4 linked regions of the Arabidopsis thaliana genome follow. The main gene of each other region encodes a partner of the protein of the gene in region 2 in a complex. Each region holds a gene or a part of one and is shown on either strand. Other genes may lie near its edges. The genes, in order: AT3G10820, AT5G20170, AT3G52860 and MED21.

Region 1 (5,898 bases), on a different chromosome or scaffold from region 2:
CCCTGGTAATATCTCTTTCTATAAGATTCTGACAATGAATTAGAAATTGGAACCAAATATTGTGCATTGTATGTCTGAACTCTGAACCAATGACATCATACTATCTTCATGTTTCTAATAGTTCTGATTGTGACGGGAGATACGGACCGTATTGTGCCAGCATGGAACGCAGAGAGGCTGGCACGAGCCATACCGGGATCAGTGTTCGAAGTAATTAAGAAATGTGGTCATCTTCCTCAAGAGGAAAAACCAGATGAATTCATATCTATTGTTGCAAAGTTTCTAGGGAATGCTTTTGGAGGGTCACAACAACAAGACGTGGACTTGAAGTTCCAAGGCATTGTATCATGAAGTATAACTATATATTTTAGCTCAATCAAGACTAAATTTTAGAGAGATTCTTCATGTTATTGGACCTGAAGAAACAAATGTCGACAATATCAAAGACTAGATAGATATAGAATAAAATAACCGAGAGACATTGATTCTTCAACAGATTGATATATAAGCGAGAATAATACACCATGTGGTGCTTCTTGCGAGTGCGGGCAAGTTTTGCAGAGTCCAGTTGATTAGCTTGGAGCTTGAAGCTGGCTTGAAGCTCCAACTCGTCAAGCCAACGCAAAGTTTCTGGAAGAACAAAGTCGGCAACATTTTGAAACTCAAAGCGAGGGGTGCAAAGGACTGTGCAGTCTTCCTCAGCCAAGAGGGCGACATGCTTCTTGTTCGTCAGAGTAGCAGCAGTCTCATCTTCCAGATTCTTCTCATTCGCCTGAGCCATGTACTGCCTGAACTTTTCGAGATAAGCCAAACTAGGGGCGCATCTCATTGCAATAGTAAACATGTAACCAAGAGCATCCACTTTCAGGCGCTTGCACTTGTCCAGTGAATCACAATCTCATGCGGATACTGTGAATCAGTTTCCTTGCATATAGCAACTTGTTGGCGAGCAAGAGACAAGTGAGTAGGATCAAATCGCTGATAGAGGAGGCCACCGGGATGAGTTCGATTGCGGGGAGGAAACTCTCTAGAAACCTTAGAGAGCATATGCATAAAGGTTTTCCCTACGCACCTAACCGTCTCGACGGAAGTCTTATGGATAAGGTCAAACTTAGGGCAAGCCTTGGCCTCGAACCTGACAAAGAGTGATCTCGTAAGGTCCTTGAGAGAAACAGATACGATGGCATCAACAAAATCCTTTTCAGTTAGAAGGACACTCATCTTCTTGAAAATCATCATCTCATCCACCATCTCTGCTTTATCTATCTGCACAAGTACGAGTCCAAAATATACAGGAATATCAATCATCAACTCATCATGTCTACATATGCAGCTAAATTTCAATTCTATGCAATGCAAACAGAGACCATTGTTTTACCAAACCTATGCTCTCACTTATGTTTATCAATAAAGGCCACAAAATTAGGGCTTTTCGATTTCCAATCAAAGACTTTCGGTTGTATCCCCGACGTACAAAATCTAGGCCAGAATTCTTAACAGCTCAACGTTTAACCCATCAGGTTTATCGATAACTAGCACTAGGAAAACAAAATTTACAACAAGGAAAATTGAAGTAGGTACCTTGAGAATTGGGAGGAACTATCACGAGGATTCGCGAGATTGAGGATGAGGGAAGGTAACTCGTAACCCTAGGAATTTATCACTCTGTTATATTTCACCTCATAAGTGATATTAAAAATTACAAAATCTTTGTATAAACAGATTTAAAAAGTTTGCTTGCCTCGCAAGTTAGGTTTAGGGATGGTCAAATACGAGAAGCCCTTTTGTCCTAATAATTTTCTTTTTTATTTTCATAATGAAACATGAAGAAAGTGAAAAAGGGATTTTCCCTTGTCACAATTATGAGGTTCTATTGTCACAAAACCGGACCAAACCGGGAATTCACTGGACCAGAAGTACCAATAAATACTGGGACAAAAGAATAGAGCATCCTAAGAAGTTTATGTTGGATCTGTCAATGCACTTTTGTTGTATATTAACGCCTCTGAATGGTCGTAGTAATTGTATAGATCATCCGAAGGAAAAAATGGACTATCTTCGTGTGGCGGGTCTCTTGAGTTGCGGTTTCTGAACTTTATTTTGCTTTGGGATAGTTTCCAGTACTTGTATCGTCCTCTGTCTCTTAGCTGTTCAAAAACAAATGGGTCATTAAGAATTAGGTGTATTGTAATAGTGGAAATATTGAAATCTCTTAAGACGATTTGACTAACCATTCTCATGTTGGTGGTAGCTCTCTTGGAGTTTCCGCTTTGCAAACTCAAACTTTGAGTCTGGATCCAGAGCTTTGAGTTTCTGAACAAAGACAAGAACACTTGCTATTAGAAACAAAACAGATTAATAATCAAACACCACGGCTTTATTAACTCAAACACTCACATCTTGTTGAGGTCCAGCAAGTTTCCGCTTTTGCTCAGTAACAGCAGTTGGTTTTCGTTGGATTGCGGATACCATTTGTTCTCTACTTTGCTTTGTTTGTCTTTTAGGCTCGACAACATCTGTGGCTGAGTGCTTCATAGGTCTAACATCAGCTTCTTCTCTCCTCGTCTGTTGATCATTGCAGTACCTCCCAACCACATTTGCATCATTTGTTCCCTTGGGTCTCCTCCCCGCACTACTTTGCGATTTTCTTTCATGTTTGGACTCCACACTGTGACGAGGATCTGAAAACAGTGGCCACCATGAGTGTCAAAATATAGGAAAACTTTCAAGTAGAGAACAGAGTACCAAAGAGTATACTAACTCACTTCCATCGCAGTCCAAACAATCTAAGATCTTCAAGTGACCCAAGACATTATGAAACAAGGACGAGGGAGGAAACTTGTCAGGATAACATTTCGTCTATGCCAGAAATAAAATATGATGAGAGGGAAAAATGTTAATAGACCTGAGAAAGTTCAAACCCATTAGGTTCAGGTGCATAGATATCTAAATCATGTGGAGGAGAAGGAAAGGCTTCTTCTTCATCAATTACTGAAAGGTTTAGAGACTCTGGCGTCCCTTCAGTGCCTGCAAGACCCAATTACTATAAATCTAGACCAAAACCTGCTCGCACTGACTACGGAACAGGAGGAGAGAGCTATTTACCAGCCATTTCCTCTGGGGTGTTCATCCACTGGTCCACCAGCCTCTTCCACTCTCTGTGCATCCCATATATAAAAACACAATCTTTATACTCGGGAGCCAGAAAGTAAGGAAGAGTAAAATGTTCTAAGTATTGAGCTAACACAAGAGCAGCTCCCTAATGATCAACCAAGGCTTTTATAATGACATTTTACAATTTGAGACATCCTACAAGGCAACTGGTTTGCATCTAAATCAAACCGTGGAGGTTCAATTTTTTTGGAACATTTTGCCAAAGTTTAATTCACATCACAGATGCGAGAGTATGAGAACAAATGAAACTAAGCACACAATGAGAATGATGAAACTCATACGCGAAAAGAGTCTTTGCAAGTTTGCTAATCTTATCGGAACTATGTCTCCTCAGACCATTAACAGCCTTTCCAATTTCAGTATCCTGCAAGAACGTAAACACTTAAATCACTCCACAGCCTCGAAAAGCTCCATCAGAATAAGCAACTTCCACTACACCAAATCATACAATATCAAAACAACACCAAAAAAACAAACCTTAAGAATGTCCACACTCATAGACATTGACTCAAGCTTTCTCAGAGATTCGAGTAACACAGAATCTTTCTGCAAAAAAGATGACAGAAACCAAAAACTCAACAATCAACACAAAGATTCCAAATTTAACCAATGAATTAGCACAAGTTTTAATGTAATCCAAGCAAAGAGACTAAAAACCTCATCGTCTTTGTTCGACAAGATATCTCTGATCCTCATAACCTCATCAACACTCACAGACGCCTCTTCACCTTCACCCGTCGCAACACCAGAATCACCCCTATCACCGCCGCCGCCAACTCCAACTATCTCCACCGCCGCTTCGTCTCCAGCTATCGAGAGCTCAAGGTGGTCACAACCAATGCAGCGACTCACTTTACAAGAGAAGAGAAGCTCAGCAATTCTATCACTCCTGGATTTAAACTCCTTTGGCCAATCTGCAGCAGCTACCATAATCGCATGATCAATGATACCAAAAATATCAGAATCTCCTCGCCGGAAATACTCTCTCCAAGTATCCAACGAAACAGATGGTCTCATCTTCGCCATCACGAAACGGCGAGGGAAAATCGATTCCGGAATCCGAATTCCTCGATCTGCAAAACCCTAATTAAATTTGAATTTAGGTTTTTGAATACGAATCAATATAGTACTAGTTGTGTAGTTTTTTTTTTTTTTAAGTTTCTCTGCAGGAAATAAAATTCGCCTGAGAATCTGACAAAAGTTTCTGCAGAAAGTCCACAAGAACTTTCCCGAGAAAACTTAAAGAAACAGAGCTTGAGCCAATTAAAAGAGGGCAAGAGAAGAAGACCCTAGAATTTTAAAAAGCCAGAAATTTATGTCGACATTAAAAAACTTAGGTTATAAAAAAAAATGGTAATAGTTTTGATCATTTATCTTGATAACTCATCTGTTTTATTTAAGTAAAATATTGAATTTGTCAATATATATATTAATTCTAAAGATATAGGCTTATGATTAACTGAATGATTATTTAGTTAATAGTAAATTAGTAATAACTAGACTATACATGTGTCGTCCTATATGACATAATGACCCTTGATGAAAAACACGTCACATGGCCTAGCTAGTATAAAGATGGGATATTCGTTTTTTTAAAGTTATGTTATCAACATTACATTCAGAGCATACTGTAATAGTAAATTATTAACACATTACACATGTCCTGATACCAACAATGGGGTACTCATTTTTCAAAGTTATGGATAATTACATTTATCACGTGAATTACTTGAAAGGTAATCTAAATAAACGCGTTTTTGGTGTCGCAATTATGTCGTTTTAAAAAGCATTGTTCATAGTCCCACAGATGTTTAGCACTATTTTTTAATTAGTACTAGTATTAAATTATTATTTTTGTATTTTTTTCATTAAATTTCTCGTTAGTTTCGTGCTTTGACTCTTTTGTTAAGCTTCAGCCACATGTTCCCGTTGTTGAAGCTGTCTTTTGAAGTTTCGTCGTCGATATCATCCTCGACTCTATTTTCAGTTGCGTTAAAGACTTCTCTTCTTCCAAAAGTTTCCTTTTCTTCTATTTTAAATATTCTTTCAGCACTTGGAGATTCACAAGTTTGTCGGATCAATCCATTTTAACTCCGGTAAGCCATACTTGCATGATTCGTTTTGTTTCCACCGATCACATGTTATCGTTTATGCTCCATAGCTTAATCTTTGACTCATTCATGATCTTTTTTTGGTTTAATGTTAAAACCCATGCATGATCTTGTTTCTGCATATTTTTGTTTTGGTTCAGTGTAAAAATTTCTGCATAATTTTGGTTCTACAAAAATAGCTACTATGCAAAAGCAAGATCACGGGGTCAAAGATTAAGCTATGGAGCTTAAACACTACTTGTATTTGACTATTTGTTTCTACGTCATTTGCGTTTGATTTGAATCTAAAGGCCTTTTAATCGATTTCTTGTCATGTGTTTGTAAGGGTTCAGTGTTTTATGTATCTTTCAAATTGTGCTTCTAGTGTATCCATTTTGGATTTGTGAAAGTTGTTTAGGGCTTATATATCTAAAATTGTAAAACCTATTTTAAATTAATATAACAAAACAGTTTCGGACTTTTAACTCATAATATCTCTTCGAATTTAGTTCATTTTCCAACTTTGAAATTCGTTGGCTTGTGATCTTGAAGCCTTGTTCCGTCCGGAATTTATGTTACTTAGTCACCAGTAGAGTTACAAACGATGAGTTATTTTAATCTTTTTTCTAAAAGG
Region 2 (6,053 bases):
AACACATGAAAAACTGAGCAAGTACAATTATCGTCAAAACCTAACAATTTATCACTACCGAGATTTGTAGAAGAATAATCAAGGGAATATGTTCATCTATTCGTCACTAATAAATCAGATTTACTATATATAGAAGCATCTGTGAATTTCATAATTATCAGATCATATAGTGAATCCAACTCCATAACGGTGACTCTCTCTCGAGAGAGCAGCAAATCAGAAAATTGAGAAATATCGATCGGTGGATGGGATGATACAAAAAAAGGGAACAGCAAACCTGAAGTTGAGCTGAAATCGATGCTAATGGCTAGAGAAATTAGGGTTTTGAAGCTTGAATCTTAGCAAAACAGATCAGCGAGACGTCAAGAGAGGGATCGAGAGACGGAGGAGAGAAACGTTCGCGTCAGAGTTATTCTCGTTTTCTCTACATATTTCCAATTCTACCCCTTTCTTCCTTTAAGTACTAAAGTCATTATGATTTCAAAGATTTTTTAAAAAAGAAAAATTGATAATATTATTTGAAATAAAGATGTTTTATAATAATCATCAATCCTTAATCCATAAAATCCACATTTCCAACTATTCAAAAAAGTGATGTTTGGGCTAGACACTAGAGTCTCACTAAACCATTGTAATCTACAAATCTTGAAGAACTAAACATGTTCACTACTTGTCTTTCAGCATTTACAATCTCTCTAAAGCATTGCGACCAGTACCACACAAGTTGATCAAATCCATGAGAACAGAGTACAAGACATCCAGAGACAAATGACCCAACAACTTCCTACTCTCCGACACTCCTTCCCTCTCCTCTGTGCATCCATTCTCCATCACTAGCCACCACGAGATGCATCCTTTTGCGTCTTCCGGGTTTACATGCGCCACCAGGCTCACTCTCTCCCCTTCCACTATCTCTAACGATAGTGACAGAAATTCCCTGCTCGCTTTTGTCCCTACCGTCCGTGCTTCCTCCAGTAGCCAACACACTATCTGGCTCGCCACCTTCTCAAATAAATAAACCGCGTGTTTAAGGGACCGTGTTGCTATAGACATGATCAACTTTAGGAAACGAAAGAACATACCTGTTGGAGAATCATCACGGGAAGGTCGGCCACGTCGCACTCGTATTTGTTTATAGAGAATAGATTGCAGGAACTGCTTTTGAGTAAGCCAACCACATTGGGCGTGCATTCCGCTTCAACACTAATACAATCATCCTTCACCACCACTTTTGTCCGGAACTGCGTCTTAAGATTCCTCTTACCATCAGGAGACTGGGTTTCAGACCTTCCTTGGGGGATGATTGATGGAGGAACAGTCATGAAGACAGTCCATGACGATGTCCGAGAATTCCATGTAGGATGAGATATCAGATGAAGATACGGGACCTTGCAGACCTGTTCAATGAGGAAGTAACCATTTTTTTTAAAGCATGATCAAAGATGACAACAAGTTTCTTGATAGAGAAGGATCATTCAATAAAGTTTAGCACATCAGGGAAAATACCACGCTTTCAAGATGCACAAGAACTCTATTTGAGAAGATTCTATGAGTCAAAGATAAGCAGAAATGGTCAAGAAGTCCGGAGTTGCTGTCCTTTTCTGTTTGATTGGATGCTCTGATACTTTTTGACTTGAGCTGATCTTTAGCTTTTCCAAAGGCATGCTCGTGAAAAATTTGTTGCAAGTATATTTCATAGCTGGTGCGATTAGGGAACCCTAGCTTCTTCAAGCGATAGTCTCCTCCTTCTGCTGGTTCTACTCTGCCAGATGATTCAATGAGCAAGGTTGCAGATTCCGACTTCTTGATGCTGGGATTTTTGCCTGATGGGTGGAGAGACACAAACAGAGAAGCTCCTTGGCCGATGCTCATTTCCATAAAATTTTCTCGTAGTCCACTTATGTTGAATCCCACACCTTCATTGAATGCTTCACGATTTAGCATGTCAAACAACTGGTAAGAAGACCAAAGAAGTGAGAAATAGTCGTGAAGAGATATACCAAGCGTACTACAAGATATATGACAAAAATACCACCTGCTCAGCAAAAATTGATTTATGCACCTCCCTCAGTAGCGAATGAGTTTCTTTAACATATTTGTCGTCACTTGCAGACAACTTCTCTGATGTTCCAGGGATATCGTGACCAGTAGTCGAGTCTATGTGCTCATCAGATTCGTTTGAGTTGCCAATCGGATTTAAGCCAACATACCCAAACCGAAGAGAGTACCATGAATCTTGGGGTACATTAATGGCCAGCATACCAGCTGAATCATGATCTACACGAATAGTGGACAGTGTAGATGGGCGAAAACCAGAAGTCGGATCATATAATGAACTGTCAGAAAGATCAATGGTGAAGCCCTCATTGCTGGCATTTGAAGCAAGCATGCGTTGTCGCTTGACTTTCCAGTTCCGCTGCAACCTATAAGCTTGTTAGTATAGCAAAAATAACCATTTGCACGTATAAATCAATCTCTATTTTGGAAGCTGAAGTCAGCTTATCATTTTATACAAATTATGAGCAATTTCAACGGAAATTCTCTAATTTGTGTTGGCATAATCTTAAGCAGTCACTACACAACAAAATGGATGTTCCTGAAGTACTGTACTATGCAGGTTCAGTAACAGAGACGGTGTAGAAGTCAAAATTTAGAACTTTTTCACATTAGACAAGAATAATAAAATGCTTTCACGTTTATCAGTCATAAGTCATAACATATTACAAAACCTACGTGCGTAATAACTCTACATCCAAAATTCGGACGCTAATTATCTGTGCACAACACAAATAGCTATGACATTGTAAGCTACCTAAAACTAGTATCAAGAATGCAAACAACAAATTCTTAAAAGTTGCAAAATAGTACTAAGGAAAATAGCCACTGACATTAAATGAAAAGCAAGTACTCGAACCTGATAAGAGCACCATAAAACCTTGCTTCACGATTGATTTTCTGCTCTAAAGCTTTTGCTGATTGTTTAAAGTAGTTTCCTAAATTCTGCAGAGGAAACAGATATTCAGAAGTGAGATAAGCATACCATCCAAAGACAATTATATAGTTAAAAAGCTCTTTACGAAACCAAGTTAATGTTTCCAACAGTTTCTCAGGATACTAAAAAGTGCCTAACTAATAACAATTACAAGAATCCTTCCATCTTTAAGCAAAGTTAAATTGCACATAAGAAAGTAAGCTACTGATTACCCGGTAGCCCTGCAGCTTGGTAGCAGTAGACACAGCAAGATCCGAGAGAATCTCATTCGGCATCGGCTTAGGTCTGGTCATCCCAGCAACTGTTACTGCATCATTTGCTTGGACCTTCAAAGATAAAATCAGAAGATAAATTGTTTAAGTTTTACTCTCTATTCAAATATCAGAAACCAAACTTCAGCTCCTTCCATTCAAACCAATAAAACAGACACTGTAAGAGCTATGAATATCCCAAAATTCTTATCTATTATCAACAAGAGTCACTCACTGTGTCGATAAGGTCAATGATGACAGTGAGCTCCTGATGAGCCAATTGCAAATTCTCAACCATTCCCTTCCATTTCCATTGCTCCACGCTATCCTTGGAGCTTTTCTTCTGCTTCTTCTTCTTCAGCTCATCTTCCTCTTCCAACGCCCACGCGAAGTCTATTCTCCGAATCAGCGATACTCTCTTATCATCGTAATCAACATCACTACACGTCAAAAACAAAAGGAATAATTTAGAAGCAAAACAATCTGGGAAGATTTTGTCTCGTTTCTCAAACACCAGACAACACTTACGAAGGAAAACGCTCGGCGCCATTTTCTTCGATAGATTCCAATCGTTTAATGGGAAGCCTGTCGAGAGAGATTTCCATGTCGCTATCCATATCGTACAGAAAAAAATCTTCCCGGTCAAAAATTCAGATTTTCTAGGTCGACGGTAACACAGTCCGGCCAAATCGCTTCAACGCTCCAAATCGGATATTTAGATCTAATAATCCGGGTCAAAAAAATTCCGGATCATTTTTACGGGTAAAGCCCATTAAAAGCCCAAAATATGTTGTACTCTGACTGTGCAAAACTCCTCCGTAAAACCCTTTCATTTGCATTTGGGAATCGATTGCTCTTCTTCGTAGTCGCCTTTGAATTCGCAGGTATTTTTTTGTTCTTCGCTTGATGGGTTCTCGTTGATTATCACTCGATTTCGTATCTGGATCTATTATAGGGTTTTCTCTTGTGTGATTCCGTGTAGTTAGAGATGGATGCTTCAGATTCGTTTTACTTTTGCTTCCATCATCGGATCAACTAAGGATTGCAGTTTTTCTGGTAGATTAAGTAGAAATGATATGTTTAGAGGATACAATCCTTAGTTTTGAATCTTAAAGTTGAATACTTTGAAGAGTTCTCTTTCATTTTCATCTAATGAGTTTTGTGTTAATGATCGGTTGTGAATTGCAGAGTGAGAAGCAATGAAGGTGAGATCATCTGTGAAGAAGATGTGTGAGTTTTGTAAAACAGTGAAACGTCGTGGACGTGTGTATGTTATATGCTCTTCCAATCCTAAGCACAAGCAAAGACAAGGGTTCAGTTCCTTTGCTTATGAAGGAATTACACCTTCCCCTTTGTAAGTGAATCTTGTATCTGGTTTTCGCTTTTGAGTAATTAGGTGTCTCATTCGGATTTTGGACGGGTTAAATACAGTGTATATTGACTACTGTGAATCACTTACTACCCAAATTTTGTCCTATAGAATCATTGAATGAAAAGTGAGGATCTATTTAGAGTCTGTTGAACAGTTACTAAAATACATTATAGTGGAACATCACACAGAAGCATGAAGCATGTGCACTTGTTTTCCTTCGCAGAGTTGAGAGTAACTTACTTAAAAAGTTATTTGGGATTGTAAAACAGGTTTGCTGAGCCGATTGCTAGTCAGGAGTTGGTGAGGCTGCCTGGTCAGGGGGTATCAGCCGGACTGGCATCACTTTTACACAAAAGGCCTATGCCAACAGCGTATTTCGGATGGAGGTCTGGTCTTGCATCCATTCTCTTCAAACAAGGAAATTAGGATGTCAGCATTTCCCTTTTTATTCTTCAGATTTGTAATCGCAGTTTTCTTCCAATTCCTATGAAACATTATTGTATATCTCTCCACTTTTACTTTGGTCAGTCGTATGCTCCTTCGAGACCTGTTTGATTGTGCCTCGCATGACCTGAACAAAGAGATATATTATGACACTCGAGTATTTGTTTTTACATTTTCCACTGGAGCATATGTTAGGGATCAATATGTTTTTCTTTTAGAAAACTCTGGTTAGTGATATCCACATCGATTACATGCCAAGGAAATGAGCAAATTGTGGTTGAATTTGTATTGACCGCGTACCAAGTAGTTTGAAATATGTTGTGGCTCATTTGCGCATGTTTATAGTCAAATTTCACTATTCCAAAATGAGGCTGCACAAAGCACACCCACTAAATGCGAATCAAATACAATGAAACTGGAGAGACGGAGACTTCTCAACGACAACGACCCTTCTCTTTCTCCACCGTTGAGCACTCGGCTCGTAGGTCCTACGTGGTGGTGTGAGAGGTCACAGGAAGCCCACTCTGATAGGCATATCCCATGGGCCCCGCTTCTGGACAGTACTACTTTTGGACATAACAAGCCTTCTTTATTACTTTTTGTTGTAGTTTTCCCTCAGTCAAATCGTTAACAGCTTCATTCCAAAAAAATCACCTCACCAATAATTGTCATACTCTTTCGTAATTTCCATTTTTGAGCTGCAATTTTAACCAATTGATCTCGAGAGATAACCATCATAATTGTGTTTCTTTCACAGGAAACAAAAAATACGAAAGGGATAATTAATCTACTCAATATATAAAATTCAGAAAGGATAATTTCTCAAAGGTTCAGGATTCCTTGCCAATGAAAATTAACATGATCTTAATATATATATCATTTGTTTACTTGGACTATATGACGTATTGGTCACGGTTGTTCTTGAATAATTGAGTTGTTCACTTGTCGTCTGATTAATGTGTTTGGTTGAATTCTAACTTTAAAGTTTTCAGTT
Region 3 (3,384 bases), on a different chromosome or scaffold from region 2:
AAAGAAATAGATCTTCCTTCCTCCTAGCCCCATACTTAATTTGGAGTCATTAATCAGACTTTCTGCTTTTGAATCTGGTGAATGTGTAGGTTCAGGCAAAGTTGGAACCACAAAACTCAGCTGGAGCTTTTTGTGGATCCTTATAATCGGGGTGGGTGTTGCAGGTCTTTCTGGATATGCAGTCTACAAATACAGAATCAGGGTATACGATGTTCTTTACTCTGGTCTTGTTATCATATTAAAACATAGGAAGATTTTGCGGTCTAGATAGAGATGCTAAGTAACAATTGAAATTATGCAGAGTTACATGGATGCGGAAATTAGAGGGATCATGGCACAGTACATGCCATTGGAAAGTCAACCACCCAACACAAGTGGTCACCATATGGATATATGAGTGAAGTTATCAACACAAGCCAAGAGACTCTCTCTCTTTCTATGAGTAGCTTTAAGTTTCCATGTAAATGAATCAATGGACTTGATACAACTCTAGAGAAAAGAAAAAAGCCACAAACAGAAATAAGTGTACCTGCACTATTTGTAAGAAATGTGGATTTGCAGATGGAATCTCCTTTTTGTCTGCATATTACTCTTACAATGTAAAATAGACATAACTGGATGAATAATGAGTGTTACATTATTTACTGTTGAAACTAACTTAAGATCCATAAGAAGAAAAACAATAAACTTTGATTGAGAGATTGTTAAACTTTCTCCAGCTCATCTCTGTGTTTCTCAATCTGTTCTTTCACAAGCTTCTGCGACTCTTGGAAAAGCCTCATGTGCTTCTTTATAAGCTCATCTTTTGTCTTAAGCTCTTCCTCCATTACTGCAATATCCTGTTAAGAACAGAACAGAAGAGAGCAGAAACTGGTAAGACAATATGTGTTTGGAGTTTTCACATTGGTAAATCAAACCACACCTTCTTAAGGCTTTCAGCTCTCGAGGGCGCGCGATCTTCTCGCTTTAGTCCCATGAAGTAAAGCTGAAGCTTTTTCGCAGCTTCCATGAAATCTCTGGCGTGCCGCTCCACATCAACTGCAGCAGTTCAATGAGGGGAATTAAGCTAGAACATCGAATATGGAATCAAAGCTTCGGTTTCAACTGAATTCTAAGCACAAAATTCACTGAGATCATAAGTTAAGCACAAAAACAAACACAACTTCCAAACTATCATTCAAACTAAAACCCTAGAATGGTGAAATTGGAGAGTAGAAAAGGGACTGACTTTGATGAGAAGGGTGAGGAGAGCGATCGATGGCCTGAAGCTCTCTCGCCGGCAAACATGGTAACAGAGCAGCTTCCAAGGCTGTGACGCAAGCCATAATGTCCTCTATGTCATTATTCTGATTGTTCGAGGGGGTCTCCGGTGATCTGATTCCCGGTGGACGGTCAGGCGGTGACGGCGAAGGGTCAGAAGACTGCGGCGGCTTTTGCTGATAATCCATTCACGCCGATCTCGATCTCTCTTTCTCTCTGCTTGTTTGTTTGCCCATAAGGTTTAGTGAAAAATATTATAATGGGGGCCCATTTACTGGATTTAATTTGGGCTTATTGGGCCTTTTCCACATTCTTAATTGTTCTTAAGAATATCATTTTGATGTAATTAATTGAAAACACTGAAAATTCATTTTTAATAAATATATGAAGTAAATCATTTATTTCATATGAAAAAACAATAGTAAGGAGAAGGAACAACATTTTCTGATACTTTACTCTTGATTTGATGTCACAAGATATAACAGATGATGGCTTTTGTAACAAATTTTGATTCCTTATGTAACTTTTTATCTCCATCAAATTAGATAAGTTACATCCTTACTTAAAGATTTTTTAGCTATGGATTTTCTAATGAAATTTGTAAAATGAGTAAGCGATTGACTAAATACTGTAACCATTCTCTTCATTATCAGTGAAAATAGCTTTTAACACATCTCTCATTCTCTTCCTTCTGATTCACAATCATCCATGTGAAAAGATGACAACAAAAACCTTAGATAGAGAACTCACACATTAGTTACAGAAGAAAGATTCTCATTTACTACTACATAAGGAAGTACGGAACATATGATCAGACATCAAGCTTCCCGGTCGGAGAAAGTCTGCTACTCCGGTATTTAGGAGACAAGTTAACAAACTCCAAAGCCTGTGTTCTGAGCTGAACCGGATAATCAGCTGCACAACCGATTCTTGGACCAACTCCTGTCGACCATTTCAGTGACAACTGATGTCCCAATTGTAATGATCTTGACTGTTTCTTTGAGTTTATCCTTAGTAGCATAGATTTCTGCGGCACGTTAGCTTTTGGACTCCCAAGTCCACCTGAGAGTGTTCTCTGGTAGCTACTCCGTTTTGCCTCCTCAAGTGTTCCCACTGTTCCGTTACCGTTCTCATCTGTTTCAGTCTCTGCTTGGAATGTTGTGTCCTCTTTCTTTAACGGTTCCGGTTCAGATCCTCCGTTGGATTTAACATAATCATCGTAGCTGTCAGAATCTTCACTAGCTTTATGCACCTACACATACATAGATATATTAGCTCTCAAGTAGTCTCTTTTTCTAAACAACCAAACTCTAGTTAATGATATCATTCACCAGCCAAGATTAGAACAAGGGCATTACCTCAACATTGTCTAGGTTCACTGCGTTCTCTCTGAGAAACCCGAGAAATGTGTCGAGACTATCGTCTGACGGCCTGTAATGTCCGCTATATGCAGAGATTGTCTGAGATTAAACCGAAAACAGAACGATCAAACAGAGAAATCACAGAAGGCAGACATAATAAAAAAGTTGATATGAATGAACATGTATCTCAACCACTCTAAGAAAAGGACGTGGCCTTAGTAAGTTACCTTGAGAACTCCATTGTCAACAATCACCCTCCCAGCAGCTAATGTAGCTCCTCCAGCCAAAAAGCTTGAGTGATGGAACCTTCCTTTCTTTTTCTGAAGTAAACATAAACAAAGAAAAGAACCATTAGAATCTTTTTCAATACTAATATCAATTCATCACCAATAGAAAGATATAACGGTTTTAACTTACCAGACCGGCATAGAGTTTCTTGAAAGTACTCATAACAAAGATCCATTTTGTTCCTTCCGATCCATGCATTGTGTGTAAGAACTTTCCAGTTAACTTGTGAACAATCTTCCCTTCTATGATCACATACTCATACTCTTCCCTCTCTTGCTGATACCAGAAAAGGCTTATATGAGAGAAATCCCAAAAACAAGTAAAACCAATATTGACATAAGAGAGGAAAAAATGGCACATACAGGTCCAAGATATCTAATGCATTGCTGCTTAAGCTTTGACCTCGGACATTCGTTAAGATCCAAATCTATCCCTCCTCCAACATCCAACCTGCCAAAAAAAAAAAACCCGGATA
Region 4 (3,781 bases), on a different chromosome or scaffold from region 2:
TAATCCGATTATAAGTAGAAAACAATTATTAAGTTTAAAAAAAAAATACAATTTTTTTTTTTCACATAGTAAAAGTATTAGAATTGAACTTTACAAAAAATTAATAAAAATTAAAGAAAAACAATAGTAGAGTCATATTTCACTAAATATTTTACATATAATATTTATATAAATATATATATTGGTAAATTTATACAATTGTTAATTTATAATATTGATCGGACTGGCTAAAGTTTTCTTTTCATCCTAAAGCTTCATCACGCAGACAAAAGATTGTTGGACTCTATACAAGTCTTGTGAGAGAGCGCAAGAAGGATGATGAGTTAGGATATCTTCACATGCTTGAGTACAAATACACAATCAAGATCCGGTTTTGGACCACAACTTATGGACTGGTCATTTCTTTTCAGCAACTTGGATTGAATGTGACAGATACCAGAGTTCATAGTAATTTGACCATCATAGTAATTTGACCAACACTGCCCGGAGAATCAAACATGATGTGTCAATCATGGCCTGTAATTGTGAAAATGATAAAGTGGATTCTCTGAGATTGTAATCAGACAGGTCAAAAAAGTGTAAGGTTAAAATAATGGTTCTGTTGTTGTGAGCTAACTAACATTCTTGTAATTGCTTCTACAACAATTTTTTGGTGAACCAACTTAGAATAGATATTCCTTATGAACCTAAAAGATAATTGTTGCTGAACCAAATCATATAGTTTCTAAATCAGCTCGACAAAAGGTAAACAAGCATTTCATTCAGGTTTCTTCATGTTCAGGCAATTGTCAGCAGCTTGTCCAAACAGCTCTTGTACTTGCTTTAGCTCCTTCTCTGTCACAAACAAGGTCACACCATTAACATCAGCTCAATCGTCAGAGGCAGTTGCAAGGGAAAACAAAAATTCCAAATTCTAGAACCACTAAAGATAACATCTAACCATAGTGCGTGTATCAACAAGAAAGTATACAAATTGAAATTTGAAGTGCATAATGAATCTGCTCCAGTTACAGACAGATAAGACACACCAACAATGAAGTGAAAACCTAAGATCGTTTTTTACCTGCAGCCTCTAGTTGCTTTTGGAGTTCTTGACCAACAAGATCATTTTCCACCTGAAGAAAAAACAGGACAAAGCGGTTAGACAAATAGAAGTAATCGGATTCAAGAACTCGACATATCGGTGTGACTTGTTTGACCTGGAGTTCAGCGATTCTTTTGAGCTGAGCACCTTCACCACCTTCTGACAAAGGAAGTGCAGCAACCAAAGCATCAAACTGTTTAGCAGCCTTAACTAAGCCAGCACTGAGCTGCTTAGGTTGCTCAGGAAAAGGCGTAGCATCATCAGTAACCGTAGTTGTAGCGGGTGGTTCAGGATAATTAGGTGAAAGCTGGACTGGTGGTGCATCCCTTTGCAGTGTCCCAAAAGCATTGAAAGTGATAGCAGCAATCGTATTCACTTGTTCTTGCAACTGTGAGATTATATCCATCTTCCAAAACCTTAAAAGACCTTGAACAAGTATAAAATTTACAGTAATCAATCACATATTAGACTTTTAACATATACTCAAAAGCAAGATATAACGTTCAGAGAGGATCTAGGAGATTCAAATGGCACAAAATTGGTGGTCAATTCCTGAATTTATCAAACAAGATTCTCAACAAAACTAGTGCCAAAGCATAAATCACTTAAAACCAGTTGGATTTCAGAGAGGATCAAAATGGCGAATCCTCAGGGAAAAAATTGACCTAATCGATTTAACGAAGCATAAGCTTTAACGAAGAGACTTACCCGTCGACAAGATTTCTCCGGCGACGCAGAGTCTGTTGGGTGTGGCAACGACAGATAATCGCTGCGAATTGGGGCGTTTTGTTGTTCTTAATAAACTTCGTTCTGCGTTTTGGGTTTGGGCTCGAAGATTTTTAAAATGGGCTTTTAAGGTGGCCTTTCCTTTGGATTTTTGGGCCCTAATTCCATAGAATTCGTAAGGAACGATTTCTGTTGTTTCTTTAAACCTACTGCTTTAATTAATTGACAACTAATTAAAAAAAAAAACACTGAAGTAGAATTGGGTGGCTGATTTTTGAGCCATAAACTATTTCGATTCTCAGCTTTCACCCCCGGACTTTTGGGCCCTTAAATTTTCACCATCAACTTTCATATTCCTCAAAATTACATCATCTACTTTCGAATTCATGCTTAAACATACATTTCCAATTGAACCATTCATTTAACCGGGATTAACCACAAATCTGCGTTTACTGTACCGCGATTGCGATTAACCTGACTAATACCCAGACCCGTTAAGAAAACGACGTCGTTTTCATTTCGTTTAACTCATCAAAAAGAGAAAGAAAACGACGTCGTTTTCATTCTTCTTCTTCTGCAAAATCGATTTGGTCGATTAGGGTTCTTCATTCGACAATTTTATAACAGAGACTAATCCAATACTACAATTTCACTCCAAAACCTCAACAACACCTACACTCTTCCCCAAAGCCATACAATAGATGCAACAATCACAACAGCAACCCCTACAGTCTTCAAAGCTGACTTTGCCATAACATGTCCTAGCTCTTCCACATTCTCCTTCATGGTCAAGAGTTCACCCTCCATCTTCTTAATCAGCTCTTCCTCCATCTGCTTAGCGTTTTTATTAAGGAGCTCCATATTAGCCATCACGTTCATTCTGAGGTCACTAATATTCTCTACAACTCTCTTACACTTCTCATTTACCATCTTAATTTCGTCCAAGAGAGCTTCATCAACCCATTTGAACAAGTGCTCTTCATTTTCTCTCTATAAAACATAATTTCCAATCATTTACTCCTTCAATCAATCAAATATATCACAAAATCGAAATGTGTACCTTCATTGCTATCGCACAACGGTAGAATCTCCGGTATGGATTCTCCTTTGTTTTCGATGTGAATGTAATGATCTCTTCTCCACACCAACATTTCGAGGGGACACCAGGAGGACAGACACGAAATCCTGAACTGGAAGCGGATGAGTAGTAGCTGTTGGTGCTCATTTTCTTATAAAATTGTCGAATGAAGAACCCTAATCGACCAAATCGATTTTGCAGAAGAAGAAGAATGAAAACGACGTCGTTTTCTTTCTCTTTTTGATGAGTTAAACGAAATGAAAACGACGTCGTTTTCTTAACGGGTCTGGGTATTAGTCGGGTTAATCGCAATCGCGGTACAGTAAACGCGGATTTGTGGTTAATCCCGGTTAAATGAATGGTTCAATTGGAAATGTATGTTTAAGCATGAATCCGAAAGTAGATGATGTAATTTTGGGAATATGAAAGTTGATGGTGGAAATTTAAGGGCCCAAAAGTCCGGGGGTGAAAGCTGAGAATCGAAATAGTTTATGGCTCGAAAATCAGCTAACCCAAGTAGAATCGATACTGATTGTGTCTAGTGCTTTAATTATCTCTAGTAGATCTTCAAGGTTTATGCCTTGTCCCTAGTACATTTTGCTATCTCGGTCTGGTGGGTGAGGTGTGATGGTGTTTGTACTTATGTCTCTGGTTTCAGCGGCTTCTTGCTTTCCTCTCTGTCGATTTACTATTAGTTTTGACTTCGGTGTAAAATCTATCCGATCTTATTGGTGTTTCCGGCGTTCACATTTTTTAGGAGAAGTTTAGGTCTTATTTTTCCCATAGTTTTTTATTTTCTTTTGAATTTTGTCTCTTGATTCAATTTCGTTGGTTTAAAATGTTTCCTTATATATGTTTTTGGTTTTACTTCCTTTTTTTCAGCTAAGTTTCTC

What was found.
Region 1: AT5G20170 (region 2) and AT3G10820 share a complex: the UniProt entries of both Arabidopsis thaliana proteins name them as parts of the mediator complex.
Region 3: AT5G20170 (region 2) and AT3G52860 share a complex: the UniProt entries of both Arabidopsis thaliana proteins name them as parts of the mediator complex.
Region 4: AT5G20170 (region 2) and MED21 share a complex: the UniProt entries of both Arabidopsis thaliana proteins name them as parts of the mediator complex.

Annotation. Positions count from the first base shown.
Region 1 is NC_003074.8:3,385,660-3,391,557, reverse strand, and holds AT3G10820 (Transcription elongation factor (TFIIS) family protein), read right to left. Parts: upstream 4,359-5,898; 5' UTR 4,201-4,358; coding exon 3,832-4,200; intron 3,721-3,831; coding exon 3,652-3,720; intron 3,539-3,651; coding exon 3,456-3,538; intron 3,159-3,455; coding exon 3,106-3,158; intron 3,028-3,105; coding exon 2,906-3,027; intron 2,794-2,905; coding exon 2,766-2,793; intron 2,682-2,765; coding exon 2,398-2,681; intron 2,314-2,397; coding exon 2,232-2,313; intron 2,148-2,231; coding exon 2,054-2,147; coding exon of another isoform or gene 2,053-2,053; exon of another isoform or gene 1,930-2,052; coding exon 1,896-1,929; exon of another isoform or gene 1,650-1,895; coding exon 1,582-1,649; intron 1,406-1,581; exon of another isoform or gene 1,322-1,405; coding exon 865-1,321; 3' UTR 555-864; downstream 1-554. Other genes in the region: AT3G10840 (alpha/beta-Hydrolases superfamily protein), read left to right, coding at 1-5, 122-351. UniProt on the Arabidopsis thaliana protein: Component of the Mediator complex, a coactivator involved in the regulated transcription of nearly all RNA polymerase II-dependent genes.
Region 2 is NC_003076.8:6,806,870-6,812,922, forward strand, and holds AT5G20170 (RNA polymerase II transcription mediator), read right to left. Parts: upstream 4,051-6,053; 5' UTR 3,861-4,050; coding exon 3,772-3,860; intron 3,684-3,771; coding exon 3,479-3,683; intron 3,319-3,478; coding exon 3,205-3,318; intron 3,001-3,204; coding exon 2,915-3,000; intron 2,424-2,914; coding exon 2,036-2,423; intron 1,954-2,035; coding exon 1,507-1,953; intron 1,398-1,506; coding exon 1,083-1,397; intron 1,003-1,082; coding exon 685-1,002; 3' UTR 506-684; downstream 1-505. Other genes in the region: AT5G20180 (Ribosomal protein L36), read left to right, coding at 4,443-4,597, 4,885-5,041. UniProt on the Arabidopsis thaliana protein: Component of the Mediator complex, a coactivator involved in the regulated transcription of nearly all RNA polymerase II-dependent genes.
Region 3 is NC_003074.8:19,591,294-19,594,677, forward strand, and holds AT3G52860 (mediator of RNA polymerase II transcription subunit-like protein), read right to left. Parts: upstream 1,476-3,384; 5' UTR 1,449-1,475; coding exon 1,229-1,448; exon of another isoform or gene 1,039-1,228; coding exon 923-1,038; intron 840-922; coding exon 705-839; 3' UTR 555-704; downstream 1-554. Other genes in the region: VSR1 (vacuolar sorting receptor homolog 1), read left to right, coding at 90-202, 302-397; AT3G52870 (IQ calmodulin-binding motif family protein), read right to left, coding at 2,072-2,512, 2,619-2,720, 2,849-2,941, 3,039-3,185, 3,272-3,359. UniProt on the Arabidopsis thaliana protein: Component of the Mediator complex, a coactivator involved in the regulated transcription of nearly all RNA polymerase II-dependent genes.
Region 4 is NC_003075.7:2,430,374-2,434,154, reverse strand, and holds MED21 (mediator 21), read right to left. Parts: upstream 1,904-3,781; 5' UTR 1,793-1,903; intron 1,511-1,792; 5' UTR 1,491-1,510; coding exon 1,200-1,490; intron 1,116-1,199; coding exon 1,064-1,115; intron 835-1,063; coding exon 758-834; 3' UTR 520-757; downstream 1-519. Other genes in the region: AT4G04775 (zinc ion binding protein), read right to left, coding at 2,483-2,800, 2,871-3,035. UniProt on the Arabidopsis thaliana protein: Component of the Mediator complex, a coactivator involved in the regulated transcription of nearly all RNA polymerase II-dependent genes.